2 linked regions of the Tamandua tetradactyla genome follow. The protein of the gene in region 2 interacts with the protein of the main gene of each other region in a biochemical or structural test. Links are inferred from orthologs where the notes say so. Each region holds a gene or a part of one and is shown on either strand. Other genes may lie near its edges.

Evidence for each region. The genes of interacting proteins can lie anywhere in the genome.
Region 1: the proteins of PDZK1 (region 2) and SLC15A5 interact in a test that uses a peptide from one of them, tested with the Homo sapiens proteins (2 studies listed by IntAct, with this or other methods). The link is inferred for Tamandua tetradactyla from reciprocal best matches to the Homo sapiens genes PDZK1 and SLC15A5.

The regions. Positions count from the first base shown.
Region 1 is NC_135333.1:78,899,831-78,907,548, reverse strand, and holds the start of SLC15A5 (solute carrier family 15 member 5), read left to right. Parts: upstream 1-4,708; coding exon 4,709-5,069; intron 5,070-7,718. UniProt on the Homo sapiens protein: Proton oligopeptide cotransporter.
Region 2 is NC_135330.1:1,141,858-1,149,848, reverse strand, and holds the start of PDZK1 (Na(+)/H(+) exchange regulatory cofactor NHE-RF3), read left to right. Parts: upstream 1-4,975; 5' UTR 4,976-5,125; intron 5,126-7,991. UniProt on the Homo sapiens protein: A scaffold protein that connects plasma membrane proteins and regulatory components, regulating their surface expression in epithelial cells apical domains.

The DNA.
Region 1 (7,718 bases), on a different chromosome or scaffold from region 2:
GCTTTAGCCAGATATTTCAAACTACCACAGTTAACCAAGCCCCAGCCAACAGTATTCCTGAAAACCCTAAGGAGTGACTTAAACTCTTTCTAATTCTCTAGAAAAATTTTTCTTAGTTAAGCTTATATTTTCAGGAACATAAGGCCTCCATATTGTTCCTATGCCAGATAAGCCCTGAAACCAGAGATGCCAGTCTCTTCAGGTATTTCCATCTGACTATTCTGATACACTAGGAACTAGAAAGAAATATATATAACCTATATCAGTAGTCATAAGCATTTGTTAAATCTGAATTTCTCAGTTATACTTTCTCCCTCTCATTTGATCTTTCAGATGGAAATACCTAGAATTGTTGAACTGTAATCCAGTAGCCTTGATCTTTGATATGATTGTATAACTATATTGCTTTTATCATGTGACCATGTGATTGTAAAGACTGTGTGACTGACATTCCCTCTATCCAGTATATGGGTACATAGGTAATAAAATAAAGATATGCATGAAAATAATAACATCAGGAATATGGGAAAAAATACTCCTACTTAACTCTGAACAATAATTATAGTATTACTTTAATAATCTTTCACCAAGAGTAACAAATGGAAGTACTGTCAAAAAAAATGCTGACATTTAAAAAATGTGTTATCAACTGTAACAAATTTTCCACACCAATGCAGTGTTGGTGGTGGGGTGGTGTATAGGAATCCTGTATTTCCTGAGTGATTGTTCTGTAAACCTACAACTTCTCTCATGAAAAATAAATAAAAAGCAGGGCTTGCACTTCTGGTATATTCTCAATATAACCCTTACAGGATGCATAAATGGCCTGGATGCTCAGTAAAAACTGAGGGTGGTTCATTAGTTCATCAAATGGGCCTCTGGCTAATTTTCTCTATTAATAATACACATTTTACCATATGTAAGTGTGATCAACATTATTACCCCACATCTTGGACATATGACCTTTGTTTTTCCAATGAAGAAGTCTAATGTTGAGTATAATCTTTGCATTCCAAACAACATGGGCTTTTCGGTTAAAATGCCTGAGGTTTTTATTGAAATTTTATATTATGTATGGAGAAGTATTAAACCATTCCCACACTTTTACCCTGTAGCATTGCTCTGAAAACTCAGCCAAAGGATATATATAACCTGAGAGTGGGGGAAGCTTTATGCCCAAAGATACTCATTCTAGCATTATTTATGAAGTTTTTTTTTTTTAATTCAGATTCATGGTCAAAGCTAGAGGAAGACTGACATTAGGAATCTGAGACAAATGTAACTAACCAAAAAATGGAAAAAAGCTAAGCACATTATGTATCTATAATGCAACCATAAAAAATATATTTACAAAGGGTTAATTTGGCATGTTAAAATGTTTATAACGTTTCCTACAAATAGAGTAGCAACCGTATTACAAATAATTGTACACAATTCAAATATTTAAAATCTACTAATAACAAATAGTCATAGGGAAAGAAAACCAAAAGAAATGCTCCCCAAACTTTCATTGTTTGTTCTTCCTTTTATATGTGTTTTTCCCCATTTATATATAATGTCTATGCATTGCTTTCATAATAGAGAAAAAATATCATTCCATTATAGAAAGACAGAAAGAAATACGGAACAAGTCTGGGGTGGGGAGGGAGAATGTTATATAAAACTAAAGTATGTATAAATTCCTATTCAAAAGTTCAACATTTGTTGACACAGATGATGACATTCAATATTTCCCAAGTGTTTTTCTCAAGTAGAGTCGGTACTTGTCCTTTAAGCTCACTTTGAGCTTGGTATTGAAAACTAGCAAGGAAGTAACAAATAAGATTTTTTTTCCTTTGCTTCAACTCTACTGAGAGTGATCTGGTCCCCTTAACTTATGTCCCTAATGCAAGTTGGAAATTTGAAAATAGTTCCACATTTCTTTATGGCTCATTGGTTAGGGTAACTAGGAAATGCAGGAATATAGGAACAAGTAGTAACAAAGGCTTTTTAATGTATGGTCCTTGACATTTCAACATTTTCTAAAACAAGCCTCAGAAATGAGCTTCTGAAGTAAGCTTTACTGTTTGTACTTCACAGCTGATGTAATGGGTTCATAGATGTAAAGTAATTTGCCTTAAGTGACAAAGTGACAGGAATGAAACACAGGACTCCTACCTTCCAACTCGGTAAGTATACTGTCTGCTATTTTGCCTTTATTACAATACTCTTGTCAGTCACAGATAACTGAAAAAAACTTGACTTCTGAGTAGGTAGCTGTCTTGGTGAGTTATCAAACAGCCCCTCAAAGAAGGCAACACTGCTGCTCTCGCTGACCCAGCCAACCCAAATTACACGTCCCCCCACAGGTGGCCTGTTCTTGGGCAAGAATACAGTGGAACCAAAGAATTTAAGTAGGATGGGTCAGGAGGCCCTGGGAAGGGTCAGGGCCTCCCTGCCTGGGAAGTGACATTGGGACTAGCTAAATAGATCAGTCAGTGGCTGGGGAGCCCTTTTCCCTTGCATCCAGGGCAGACAGAAATGTAAGCTCTGTTACAAAGAAAGCAAGTGTGGCTAACTTAACTTTAAATAGATTAGTTTACAAAAAGAAAACTGAACAGTCATACCTCCGGGAAGATAAGAAGCAGGGCCACACTGAGTTCTCCAGCAAGGCCTCAGATAATCCCTTCTGGGCACTGTTTAGGTTTGCTAATGCTGCAAGAGTGCGAAGTACCAGAAATGGATTGGCTTTTACAAAGGGGTTGATTAAGTTACAAGTCACAATCCTAAGGTCATAAAAATGTCCAAATTTAGGCATCAACAAAAGGATACCTTCACTGAAGAAAGACCCATGGCATTTGGGTTCCTCTGTCTCATGGGAAGGCACATGGCGATGTCTGCTGGCCCTTCTCTCCTGGGTTGGTTTCAGAATGGCTCTCTCAGCCTCTGTGGGTCCTGCTGGCTTCTCCCGGGTTGTTTTCTTTCTCTTTGAGCTCCTCTCCACTCTGGGTTCTCTCGAAAATGTCACTGCCTTATAGGACTCCAGCAAGACCCAATTTGAATGGGTGGGATCACATCTCCATGGAAACAACCTAATCAAAAGGTCCCACCCACAATAGGTCTGTACCCACAAGATTGGATTAAAAGAGTGTGGCTTTTCTGGGGGTACATAACAGTGTCATACAGCGCAGACACTGCCATCTAAATGATAGTTTCTACCATGTCCACTATTGAATTATTCCACTCCTGATGAAATTTCCTTGGGAGAAAAAGTACATGGACTATGTTAAGCTATGTGCTACTGCCCTTTGCCAAAAGAAAAGGGATTCCCTGAGTAATTGCCCCACCATGGACTCAAGTAACAAGGGAGAATGGCTCTCCAAAGGTAGAATTACCCACATGATAGGGTTTGCCTTGGACAGACCCAGTTTATACCTGTTGTCCAGGACTAACTATAAATAGCATCACTTTCACTCATAAAATGTCCAAGATTGAATAATAAATGCCATGCTTACCTTATGTAAAGGAAAAATAGTGTGTCGTGTCCAAAGAAGGGGGAGGTGAGGCCAAGGAGATTAAAACAGCTGCCATTACAAGGAGACTATTAGAAGGGGTCAGAACAAGGTGTTTTGTTTCCAATCTCTCAGACCAAAAGATAAGAATCAGACTCAAAAGCCCTGACAGTCTTTTGCTTTTAACTCTTACATGAAAACAGCATTCCTTGCTCACTCCTTGTGTATTGAATTATTGTGGCTTTGACCCAATAGCATCATATCCTTGTCTTTGTATGCCCTTGCTGTTAAACATCTAAATGTTTAAAGTATTTTCTTTTGCCGCTTTTTTTTAAAAATCTTAATTGGTGGCCTCCTGCTTTCTAAAACAGAGTGCCAACATCCATTCACTTAGCTGGAAGGTCGAGGTGATACCAGATCCAATAATGCCCAAAGCATGTGTAGGCTCGTTACTGTATTTCTAACTGCTGGCTAATAATAAGATATTCAAATAGCTTCTTTTGATTCTGATTCCCTCTGAGAAGCTGTTCTACAAGTATGGGGTCAACGTAAAGGAAGAGGGTTTTTAATAGTTTCTCTTTTCATTAGTGCACTTAAATTACTTTCTTGTAAACTCTGCTTGTTACCTCAATGTACTAGCACTTTCGTTACCTAATTAACTTTCTTATCAGAATTCCAAGCAAAAATAACATGAAATATAATAATGATAAGGCATCCTACCCCTTCAAAACAGATTTTCTTTCATGCTTTTATCTCTTGGTACTGTTCTGGCTTGCTTAATTAAAGTATCAGAAGTTATTAGACTCAAATTATTTCTTGATCTAGTGCTCAAATTCTCCTGAAAAACTGCTGCTTCTGCCTCAGAGTTTCAACCTTTATCAGTGTGAGGCAGATGAGTTTCCACATGTGTTCAACTGAATTCTTGTTAATCCAATATAACTTCAGAGGAAGAGTCTAATTTAGCTTCTTAGTAATCAAACAAACAAATCCATTTGACTATATTGGACCGCCATAATGTTTGAAACTCATGCCTTCTTTCCTATGTTCTGGATCATCAAAATGAACACCACTTAAGTGCAAGAAAAAAAAAACATGAAATTTTAGCATGGATATGTGAAATTCAAAGCAAAGATTCTACTTGTTTTTTCAGAGGGTCAGGGTATACAAAATCACCAAATACAAACCACGAAGACAAGTTGTATTCGAGGAGGTTAGTCATGTCTGTTACAGACTTTAAAGTAACTGATGAGAAAGGGCTCTTAAATCACAGCTTTCAGAAGGAGAAAACAGCAAGACATGTTGGTAATTTTTTTTCATCGCTCTCTGTGAAAAACATTCAGGTTGGACTCTGTTTGCTTTTGGTGGAGCTGTGTGAGAGGTTCACTTTTTTTGAAGTTGTCTGCAATTTGATCCCCTTTTGCACTGTCAAGCTTGGCTATCACAATTACCAAGCAGCCATTTTGAACTTGTGTTTTACGGGAACGTCAATACTTAGCCCTGTGTTTGCAGGATGGCTCGTGGATGTCTGTCTGGGAAGAAACAAACTGGTATATATTTGCTTATTTCTACACTTTCTAGGTGAGTGTCCCGTTGACATTGGATGGTTTTGCAAACTTATTAAGTGGACTTTTGCTAGAATTTTTTTGTTTTTATCATTCTGCTTTTTTATCATACTGCATTTAATGTATAATGTTCAAAATTAAGAATGTTGCTTCAATTCATTTCGTTCTCTTTATTTTTTCAAGGATGATATCAAATATGTTGTGTGTGTTAAAGGATGCTTTGATACTATATCATTGCACTTATTATATGTTATCATAATTATCTTTACATGTCTGACTTCTGTACTCCTCAGAATAACCTTCTTTTCCCCCTTTGTAGCCCAAATTCAAATTCCTGACAAATCCCACTTGAGACATCAAATGTATTTGCTTTACAACTAAGATGAAATTTGCTAAAAAAGGTTTTGAAGTCATATAGAATAAATGAAAAATGTTTTCTTCAAAAACTGGTACTTTAGTTAACCATTTAGCAGTTAAGGTGGCATCTGAAGGCATAACTTCTATATTAAGAGCTATGGCTATAAGCTAAAAAATTGAATGAATTCATACACTAACCTTGATTCTTTACATAGAGAAAAAAGTAAGTACATTTATAAAAGTTTAGGAATAAAAAAAGTTTCGGAGTAAAGTGATTGCATGAAATGATGTTGGAGAAATATCAAGATAGCTTGATAAGGAGTAGGAAGCCAGCTGATGAACAGTCTAGAGTTTTAAGCCGAGAAATTCAAGTCGTTCTTCTAAACAACGAGGAGTCACTGAAGATAAGATGAAAACAACATTCAGAAGACGTTTTTCACTGATAAACAGGATGGACAACCACAGAGAAATAGTAAATAGAGAGATCAGAAAAACCTCAGGATAATGGTGTTGTCAATGGAAAAGCATCAATCCAAGAGAAATCATGTGAAAAATATTTTTTAATAAAACAACTTGGAAACTAAAAAAGGGCATGAATTCTCTAGAAGTACAAATTACTTCTAGTAATTAACTAGAAAAATTAATTCCAAGGGTGTGAGCTGAGGAACTTAGTGTGCTGTTCACCAAGAACAAGGAGCACAGGGCAATGTGCATTTGTGGGGAGGGAGGCCGAATGAGGAAGGGGTGGATGTCAGGCACGCAACATATCACATGACTTCAGGCAGGTGGTAAATTACCATTTGCTGAATCAAGATCAGAGTGTGATTTAAACTTGCAAACTTCTTCACTGCTTAAGTTCTGTGGAATAAAAACCAAGTCACTGCATGGCAAATACTCACTCAACATTCAACAAATATTTCTTCTTGACTACCCTGTGACAGGCGTTGTTCCAGGATCTGGGAATGTAAGAGAGTAAAAAGCAGGCTCTGCTTGGCTACAGTTTACTTTCTGGTGGGGGAGAAAGAAAATTAACAAGTAAATAGATATTACATGAGGTAATGATGAGTGTTATGAAGAAAAGTAAAAGTGAGTAAGGAGACAGGAGGGAATAGACAGTGACAGGGCTGGCTACTGTGTATTGTGAAATCAGGGAATATTTTCTGAGAGGGAGACATTTTAAGCAGAGATCTGAGTAATTTATTCTCTACTTAGTGTCAGGTTATCCTACCAGCCACATCAGTAGTGTTTGGTAAATTTTTGTTTAACATGGTGATTCCTATGGGTTCAACTTCCTATGTAAGTTATCAGACTAAGACTGAAGTCCCAACTTCTGAATTTGACAAACAAAAGGCAAAGTCAACTTCATCTCCATTCATTTTCCTATTAAAAGTCATTTCCTTGTGTTCCTGACTCACAGCTGCCATAAAATTCCAAATAGTCACTAAACCTCAGCGGTTCTATCAGAAATGCCTCTTCTGCTGGAATTGATACAACTTTAGCTCAAAAATGCAGCTTTATTTTTCTCAACCATTATGATAGCCTACTTACCAGCCTGCAAGTCATCAGTCTGACATCCTACACCATTCAAGCAACATTGGCTCCCTAAAAATAAATCTAAATACTGGCTCTATTATCTATAAGATAAAATCAAACATTAATTTAGTACATAAGACCCTTTACAATCTATTTCAAATTGGTCTCTCCAGACTTCCATCTCAGTAAATCAACCCAACCATGTTGAACTTGTTATGTTCTCCTTACTCTTCGAATCGCAATTGCTTTCTCCTCTCTACCTTAAATTGTTACCACCCCTCAGCTTTCCACCCACACCCAGGAGCTGAAAACTCCTCCTCTTCTTTCAAGACAATATAATAATTACTGCTTGCTCTTCTGTTCTTACTCAACCCCGTTCTGATCATACCTACGTGATTGTTTTTATCACATTAAAATAGAGTTGCCCACCAGCATGTCTATATTCGCTAATGGACTCATTAGCTCCTGGAAAGCAGAGCACCTTGCAGGGGCTATGACCTAGCAGGGGCTGTGCCACATCACGGTGCGTGACTCAGAGCTGCCAAGTGCAGGTATGCTGATTGTGCAGGGCAAGATAGCACCACATCAAAGAGGAGACATTTTATCACCCATGCCATTAAGTTGTATTTTCGGTTGCATCAATTTTACAGGCATTAGAAATAAAGTTTTAATTTAATAACATCATTATATTACGACATATTCCCAAAAGATGGGGGTAAAGTGTTTTTCTAACTTATACAAAGGCACCATCTGGACTAAAAGTGCCTGTCCTTAA
Region 2 (7,991 bases):
AGCATGATCTCCTAAGTACAGAAAACCCTGAAAGCATACGTGACCATGTTCCCATCTCAAAACAAAAAAATGTTCTTGTTGACTGAAACAACAGGTCTTTGCCTTCTTTATTCTCTTTGAAGTAGACTGCTTGGGATAACTTTCTTAAGAAAAATAAAAATGCGAGCTACCATGTTTTAGGTGGTTCTGTTCTGTAATTGCTACCCTCAAGGCACAAGTCATTCCCTGGCTCGACAGATGTCCTCCAGAAATCCTTCCAGGAAAAGAGACGAGTGGTGGCTGAAGGAGGGTGGGTTACTTCATTCTTGCCCTAGTAAGCTTAGTAGAAGTGTAACACATCGAAATTCAGGGGAAGGTGTCTTTCTCTCCCCTCCCCCCCTTTTCGACACATACAGCGTAATGGAGCTCAGATTCGGCTTGTGGCTGCACTCTGGGGAGCAGCTCTGGGGAGCACTCTAAACCGCCACTACTTGACAGCAGAGAGTGAGTAGGGCGCCCCAATGTTTCCGTGCTGCGGATGGCTCGCCGCGATTTCAACTGGCTGGAACACTGTTTACACACGAGCCCTCGCAATTATTCCTTTACACAAAATTTTACAGCTGTGAGCCTCTTGTGAATAAAAGACTGCACACTTAACATTGGCATCGATAACAGCTCATGTAGAGAAGCTGACTACGTGAAAACGATTTCAAAAGTTAGGGATGACTACAGTTTTCCTTTGTGTCTTCAAGTCAGAAGAATGAAATGGCCAAGGAGACGAAGCTGTAGGTGGCACGAGTCTCGAACCAGGTAAGTTTAAAGTGGTTTAAATCCACTTTACAAGTTACTATCAAGAAATAGGAATTTCTAACAAGCTCTGTAAAAATATATTGTAGGTGCAACTTAATTTAAGTATGTTACACTCCAACATAAAATATTTAAAGATTTGAAAAGGGTACTTTTTTTTCGAAAAGTTAGTTTGAACTTGCTAAGCTTGGCTTTAGCTAAATGGCTAATATTGTTTTTCAAGGTGTGAAATACATTTGCGTTTTAGAAGGAAAGACTAGCTTTGACAGGGCAATGGTAGGCAACACAAAATTCATTTTTAGATCAGTATCATGCACTTCCTAACACTCACATTTATACCCAGATTTCATGTTTACAAGTACAAAAGGCAAAGAACCACAAAGACTCGAGGCAACTACTTTTGGTAGTTAATGCTGTTGTCCCCAACCCCCATTTTCTAAATCCAGGAGAAAACTCAATGCCAGCCTGCACGTGGAGTCCCTTTTAGAAGGTGGAGGCCGTGTGTGGTTCTGCACAGGCCTGGGTTTCCACAGAACTGAACCGACACTCCATCGTGTTCCGGACAAATCAGCCAGAAGGAAATCATCCACGGCTGAGTTTCATTGCTGGTGAAAAACAAGCTCCCCAGGGTTTCAAAACACAATTCATCGTCTGGGTATCTGCCTGTTCAACTGAACTTTGCTTTCCAGAGCAGGGAGGTTTTTAGTGGGAATCCCTTCTGTTTGGGTTTCTGTGTCAGATGAATCAGTGCTCATGGGAAAGCTGGAGTGTTTCAGAATACTGCCCAGAGGCAGCTGAGAGCTACTCCTAAAAGAAGCTTAAGTCTGTCTGTCTGCGTATCAAACTTTTCAAGACCTAAGAGTTAGCATTCCCCCTGCAGCTGCAGGGCTGAGCAGAGGGGTCTGCGAGTAAAAAGTCAGTCTGGGGCTCTGTGTCCAGGGATTACAACACTGGTTCAGTGTTCACACTGCTGAGTTCAGGCTCTCCCACTTGAGTTTGGATGTTTGAGGCTGAAAAGAACTCTTCAACATCAAAATCCATCCGGGATTCTGGGTTGGGCCTGGGTGTCGGGTCCGGTGTTTGTGTCGGACAAAAGTCTGCGATGGTCCAATGTCTGGCCCGGCAGGTTACTCGACAAGAGTTTTCCAAATCGCTTAAGAAGCCCACAGTTCGGGTCTGATACTCTGCCATGCTTCGTGAGGGAAGCGCACTGTCCTGCTTACCGAAGTTCAGAATTGGTGCAGATTTCTCAATATCTTGATTTAAAGACTTAGGGTCATTCTGAGGTAACAAACCATGAGTTATAGTCTCGGCTACCAAAGTGCTGCTTTTAATATTGTCTGTAGAAACCTTGCATGAAGAATGGACGCCCTCAAAAACGTCTCCACACACTTCCGCTTGGTCCGTGTGGCCCAGGCCATCTGTGGAACTTTGCACGCCACTGATTTGAGTCTCTTGGAGATACCACCTGCCTGGAAACAAGCCTCTAAAGTATCACCAGTCTGAGGGGCTGTCAATGACGTTTCTTTAGCACTTGGTGACAACGTTTGAGTCTGAACACTAATGGAAAGTGAAACTGGAGAACTGAATGTCAAATCCATTTGTGAACAGACAGGGGAGAGGCGTCTGGGGAAGCCCGCTGGGCAGAGGTGCGAAGCCAGGTGAGGCCTAAGGCAGGTCTGTCTGCACACTGATGGAAGAAGTGCTGTCCCCTACACATGCTCCCTAGTTGCTGTAAAGTGGCAGGTGGACTTTCACCCACGCTCACGTGAACATCTGCACGAATTGGCTCAGCAGCCGTGGGACTCACAAGGTTTGAGAAGCAGGCTCTCCCTGAGAGAGCAAGCGTCTGAATCTAGGCTGAGGGTCGGGGTGGCTATGGACAAGGAGGCCAGTGAATGGTGCCCGTGGCAGAGCCCTGCTGACCCCCACCCACTGCTGCGGCTGGGCTGAGGGGTCGACTGTCCTAGGCATAGAGACACACTTTGGGTTTGGTAACAGCAGCTTCTGAGGATGTCTTGGAGCAAGGAGTCTTCAAAGGAAGCTCCTAGCTTTACTTCTGAAGTTTTGGTTCTTGTGTGTCTGGTGTGGAGGATGGTTTATTGACAGTGATTCAATGGTCTTTTTTGACAACTTCTGGTTGTTCCTGGAGTTCTCCATTTTCCTTTCCTTCCTGGGTGGGTCTTGTGGCCAGTTGGGTAGATGTGTGACCGCAGGGCAGTTCCGCTGACGTAAGGACAGCGCGTGCACACTGGAAGGTCCTGCCACAATCCCTGCATGTCTTTTTAAATCCCACCCAGACCATAAGAACTTACTACAGTTGTGCTTCTTTTCAGCATTTTCACAGGGTGCTGTTTAACAAGAGAGAATTGAGAAAATGGTCTGTCTGGGCCTCCAGGGCGCCCTTCCACTGGACGGCAGTAGAATTTCCATACAGGTTTCAAATCTTCCTTAGAGTTGGATTTACTGTGCTGTTCGCAGGCAGTGGAATTTCCATACAGGTTTCAAATCTTTCCTTACAGCTGGATTTACTGTGCTATTCGCAGGCAGTAGCTCTTGACCAGGCACATGTCCAGCGCCGGGCTGCTGGGCAGGATCCTGGGCACCTGTGCATGCCCCAGAGGTGGGTGTGCCGGGCCTGGAGGTGGGTGCTCATGGCCCGGAGGTGGGTGTGCACGGCCCAGAAGTGGGTGTGCATGGCCCGGAGGTGGGTGTGCACGGCCCGGGAGGTGGGTGCTCATGGCCCGGAGGTGGGTGTGCCGGGCCCCAGAGGTGGGTGTGCCGGGCCCGGAGGTGGGTGCTCATGGCCCAGAGGTGGGTGTGCACGGCCCGGGAGGTGGGTGTGCAGGGCCTGGAGGTGGGTGTTCATGGCCCGGAGGTGGGTGTGCACGGCCCGGGAGGTGGGTGTGCATGGCCCCGGAGGTGGGTGTTCATGGCCCGGAGGTGGGTGTGCACGGCCCGGAGGTGGGTGCTCATGGCCCGGAGGTGGGTGTGCCGGGCCCCAGAGGTGGGTGTGCCGGGCCCGGAGGTGGGTGCTCATGGCCCAGAGGTGGGTGTGCACGGCCCGGGAGGTGGGTGTGCATGGCCCCGGAGGTGGGTGTGCACGGCCCGGAGGTGGGTGCTCATGGCCCGGAGGTGGGTGTGCAGGGCCTGGAGGTGGGTGTGCCAGGCCCAAGACAGCTCATCCAGGCTGGGTCGGCTCCTGGGCGGGCAGTGCGGGGGTTGCGGGCTGCTGCCCCTCAGCGGTTCCGGGGGACCCCGCGGGCCTGATGCATCGGGGGTGCCCGCAGGGCAGCAGGGCGGATCTTCTTCTTCTTTTTTTTATTAAGGCATTATTATATCGCTCACCTATCGCAGGCGCACAGTTTGACGGATGTTGGTAATTGTGGACATTTTCTGTAGCCAGCCCTGCACTCAGGTCTGAAACATCGCCTTCATCCTCCCGCTGGCCCTGCGTGGAGAGGGGTCTAGCGGCCTAACGGCTGACCGCCCGCGGTGGACAGAGGAAGGCCCGGGACGCACCTGCCTTAGACGCGGCCAAGGGGCACTGCGGCCTGCGGCCACGGCGACAGGAACTGGGCCCGGGGTAGAGAAGCCCCCAGCGTCACGAGAGTCCCTAACAATGCCCACGGGTGACGAGGGCAAAGGACACTCGTGGAAAGCCAGGGGCCCTGCACCGCCGCCGGGGAGCGGCGTCTGCACCCAGCGCTCCGACCCAGGGCCCCCACCCCCGCGGTCCCGCGGCCCTGCGGCCCTGGAGCCCGAGGCACAGCCCCGATTGGACGGCGACTCGGGGGTCGGAGGGTCGCTCCTAACCGTGATCCCTGCCCTCCCGGGCCGGCGCTGCCCCGACCCCCGGCCCCGCAGCTGCTCCCCACGCCCCCCGCAGCTGGGCGGGCCTGAGGGCTGGAGGGGCAACGGGGAGACACCTGCCAGAAGGCGGGACAGCAGAAGCTTCCCCCTCAGGTGAGAGGGACCGGGGGAGCGAGGAAAGTGCGGACACTAGAAGGAAGGAGGTCCCGGAAATACGGCCAGGTGAGGGGAGGGCGGGGGCGCGCGCTCCCTGGGTCTGGCCCCCTCCCCTAGGCCGGACCTGCTGTGGGCCCGCCTCCGCCCCCGAAGCCCCGCCCCTCCTCCGTCCACCTCCCCACCGGGCCCTGGGCGGGGCAGGGGCAGGTGGGCGGGAGCCGAGGGCTTCCCAGGCCTCCCGGCCGGGCCGAGCGGACCAGCAGCTGCGGGCCGGCGGCCACGTGGACTCCTGCGGCGGGTTAAATACTTCGCCTTCGGGCTGCCCTTTGCTCCGGGCGCAGGTGCGGCGCAGCCTCGTGTCCAGGACCAGGTAGGAGCCGCGGCGCCGGGCGGGCAGGTCCCGGCTGCTACCCGCTTGGGTGCTGGCCGCGGGGGCTGGGGAAGGACGCGCCTCACCACGCGCAGGGGAGCCGGGGGCCAGGTCGGCTCTGTCCTTCGGGGATTTCCACTCTTTGCGTCTTGGATGCGTGTGGAAATCAACGCCAGTTCTTTTTCTAAAGGCCCCAAATAATTCGGATGCGTGGGCAGCGTGGGACCCACTCGCAGCTCGTTTCCTAACCAGAGCAGCCCTCCTTAGAGGGCTCGGATAGAACTTTCCGCTCAGAGTTTAAGGCTCCGGCGGGGCGGTCCGGGAACGCCTTCCTCCTTCGCAGTTTCTGCACCGCAATACCCACGCGCGGCCTCGTCCCCACACAGCGGCTCCCACGCACACGGCCCCATCCCCACGCGGCGCCACCCACCGCGGCACCTATGCACGTGCAGCCCCGTCCCCACGCCGCGGCACCCACAGTGGCACCCACGCGCGCGCAGCCCCATCCCCACGCCGTGGCACCCAGAACGGCACCCACGCGCGGCCTCGTCCCCACGCGGCACCACCCGCTGCGGCACCCACGCGCGCGCAGCCCTGTCCCCACGCCGCGGCACCCACGCATGCGTGGCCTCGCCCCCACGCACCGGCTGGCCTGGGCCACGGCTATTTAGTTACCTAGAGTCATATGTTCTTCTCCTGAAGCAAATAACTCAGGGACTTTGAGTTTTTGTTATGACTAAATTATTCTTATCTGTGGCTCTTTCTTATGCCCTTTTCAAAATAAAATATGAAGTAATTACTAATGATGTCTTAAATTCACAGACCACTTGCTAGGCCACTTGCCCTCTTAAGGGGGCAAAAAACCCACAGGGCTGATTGGATTACAAATAGCTGGGCTCTGGATCACCTGGAAGTGATCAGGTCGTTAGGCAGCTCCACCACTCTGAGCCTCAGTGTCCTCTTCTATCAAAGGAAGACCCTGAATCTGCCCCAGGATTGCACTGAAAATAAAATTATATACATGAATGTGTTGGGGGGACCAAAAGCACAAACATAAAATGCCTAAATTACAGGTGTGATACCCAAAGGCTTTGTGGAATGTTGTGAAGACAGAGCCTTGCAGTCAGGGCACCTCGTCTGAGTCTCGTGATCTCTCCACCACCTGGAAATAGGAGTCGAGTCGCTAATGTCCTTTCCTGCTTACCAAGAATCAAGTCCAGGCTGGAGCTTGGGAACTAGAATTGTCATTCTATTAGCTGGTCTGTTATTTATCTTCTTAGCAGAACTAGGACTGTTAGCCCCAATGCTAACAAGTAGGTAGGCTGAGAAGCATTCTAGAACCTCAGCCCTCTGCGTTCCCACTTTATCCTTTAGGGCACTGAGGTCCCTGGTTTCAGGGACCCCTCCTTGGGCCACCAACTCTTGAAGTGGTCTCCTTTCTCATGGCATGGCTGGCTCCTTGTCCTTTGAGTATGAGTTGGCGTTATCTCCTCGGGGGACTTTGTAAATCAGCCTGGCCCCTCCACCCCACCACTGCCTCTCATTGTTCCTCGGCATTTCCATCTTCCTGACTTGCCCCCTTTGCCTGATGTTAAGCTTCTGGAGAGCAGGGATCTTGTCCTGGCTCTTATCTCCTTTATCCCCAACCCTCAGAACAGTGGCCAGCACAGAGGAAATGATTAGATGCTGGGTAAATGGAAGTTAGCGTGCCAGGGAAAGAGCTTGAACAGTGGAACGCAGTATACTTCGGTAAGCTGCTGCTCAGAAAAACAGGCTGAGGAACTCAAGCTGGTTTGGGTCATTTACAGTCGAGAATCTGATCACATGGTAACTGGCTTCTCTGGCCACATCCTGGTTCAATGATTTTCCCACTCACTGCACAGGAATTTGATGAGTAACAAAAGCTGGAGCTAGGCCTGTTTCCTCCAGATCTCAGCAGCCCCTTTCCTTTCGCAAGGGGCTTCCCAGATCCCCATCACCCCTTTGCCTGGTAGGTTTCATGGCTAAATATTTAGCCATGGGAGGAATTTGGAATTGGAAACCTGAATTCCAGAGCAGACTCCACCTTTTACTCTAAGCCTTTAATTCCTTGAGGTGGGTGTAATCGAATTTAGCTCCTAGAGTGTGGGGTTCGATGGGGGAATGGACAGAGTGCCTCGCACAGCCTTGGAGCAGCTTATTAAGTTGACGCTCTGGGAGTTTGCAGTGTGCATGGCTCCAGGGAAGGAAGGAACCCGGGCAACAGCAATGAGTTGTGATAAATAGAAACGATGCCCCTAGCCTACTGGGTGGCTGCTGTGGATGGTTTGGTCTTGGCCAGAGTCAGGCACCGGCTTCTGGGCGCTGGGCCTGGTCAGATGTGCGGTGCTGTGTTCATGAAGCTGGGTGGACGATGGGCTGCTCGGGGCCATGGGGGAGCAGCAGTAACGGCCCGGGAAAGTCTGCGGCCTTCTACCAGCTGTGCTGTATGGAGGACAGAGAAGGGTGCTGGGACCTGCCCCTCCATGCCAACGTGGACACTGAAGCTCCTCTGTGACAGGCACCTGCGGGCCAGCCGAGTTGCTTTCTGGTTTTTCTGAACTGCTCCCTGTTCCCTGAACGCAGCTGTACCTGCATGGGTCCCTCTCGGCACACCATCCCTGCTGACTGCCTTGGGGCTCCTGTCCTCGCCTGACCACGCGGGCAGGGCTGGGAGGCTGTGGGGGCGGGAAGGGCCCGGCGGACGGGCTGGGTTCCGCGCTGTGCAGGTGTCAGCCTCTGAGTCCCCTTCCTTGTCTGACGGGCGGCGAGGGTGGAGGGAGAGCCAGGCGGTACCCAGCAGTGCCTGGCGCCCGGGAAAGGAGTAGCAACGATAAAACTGTCTCCC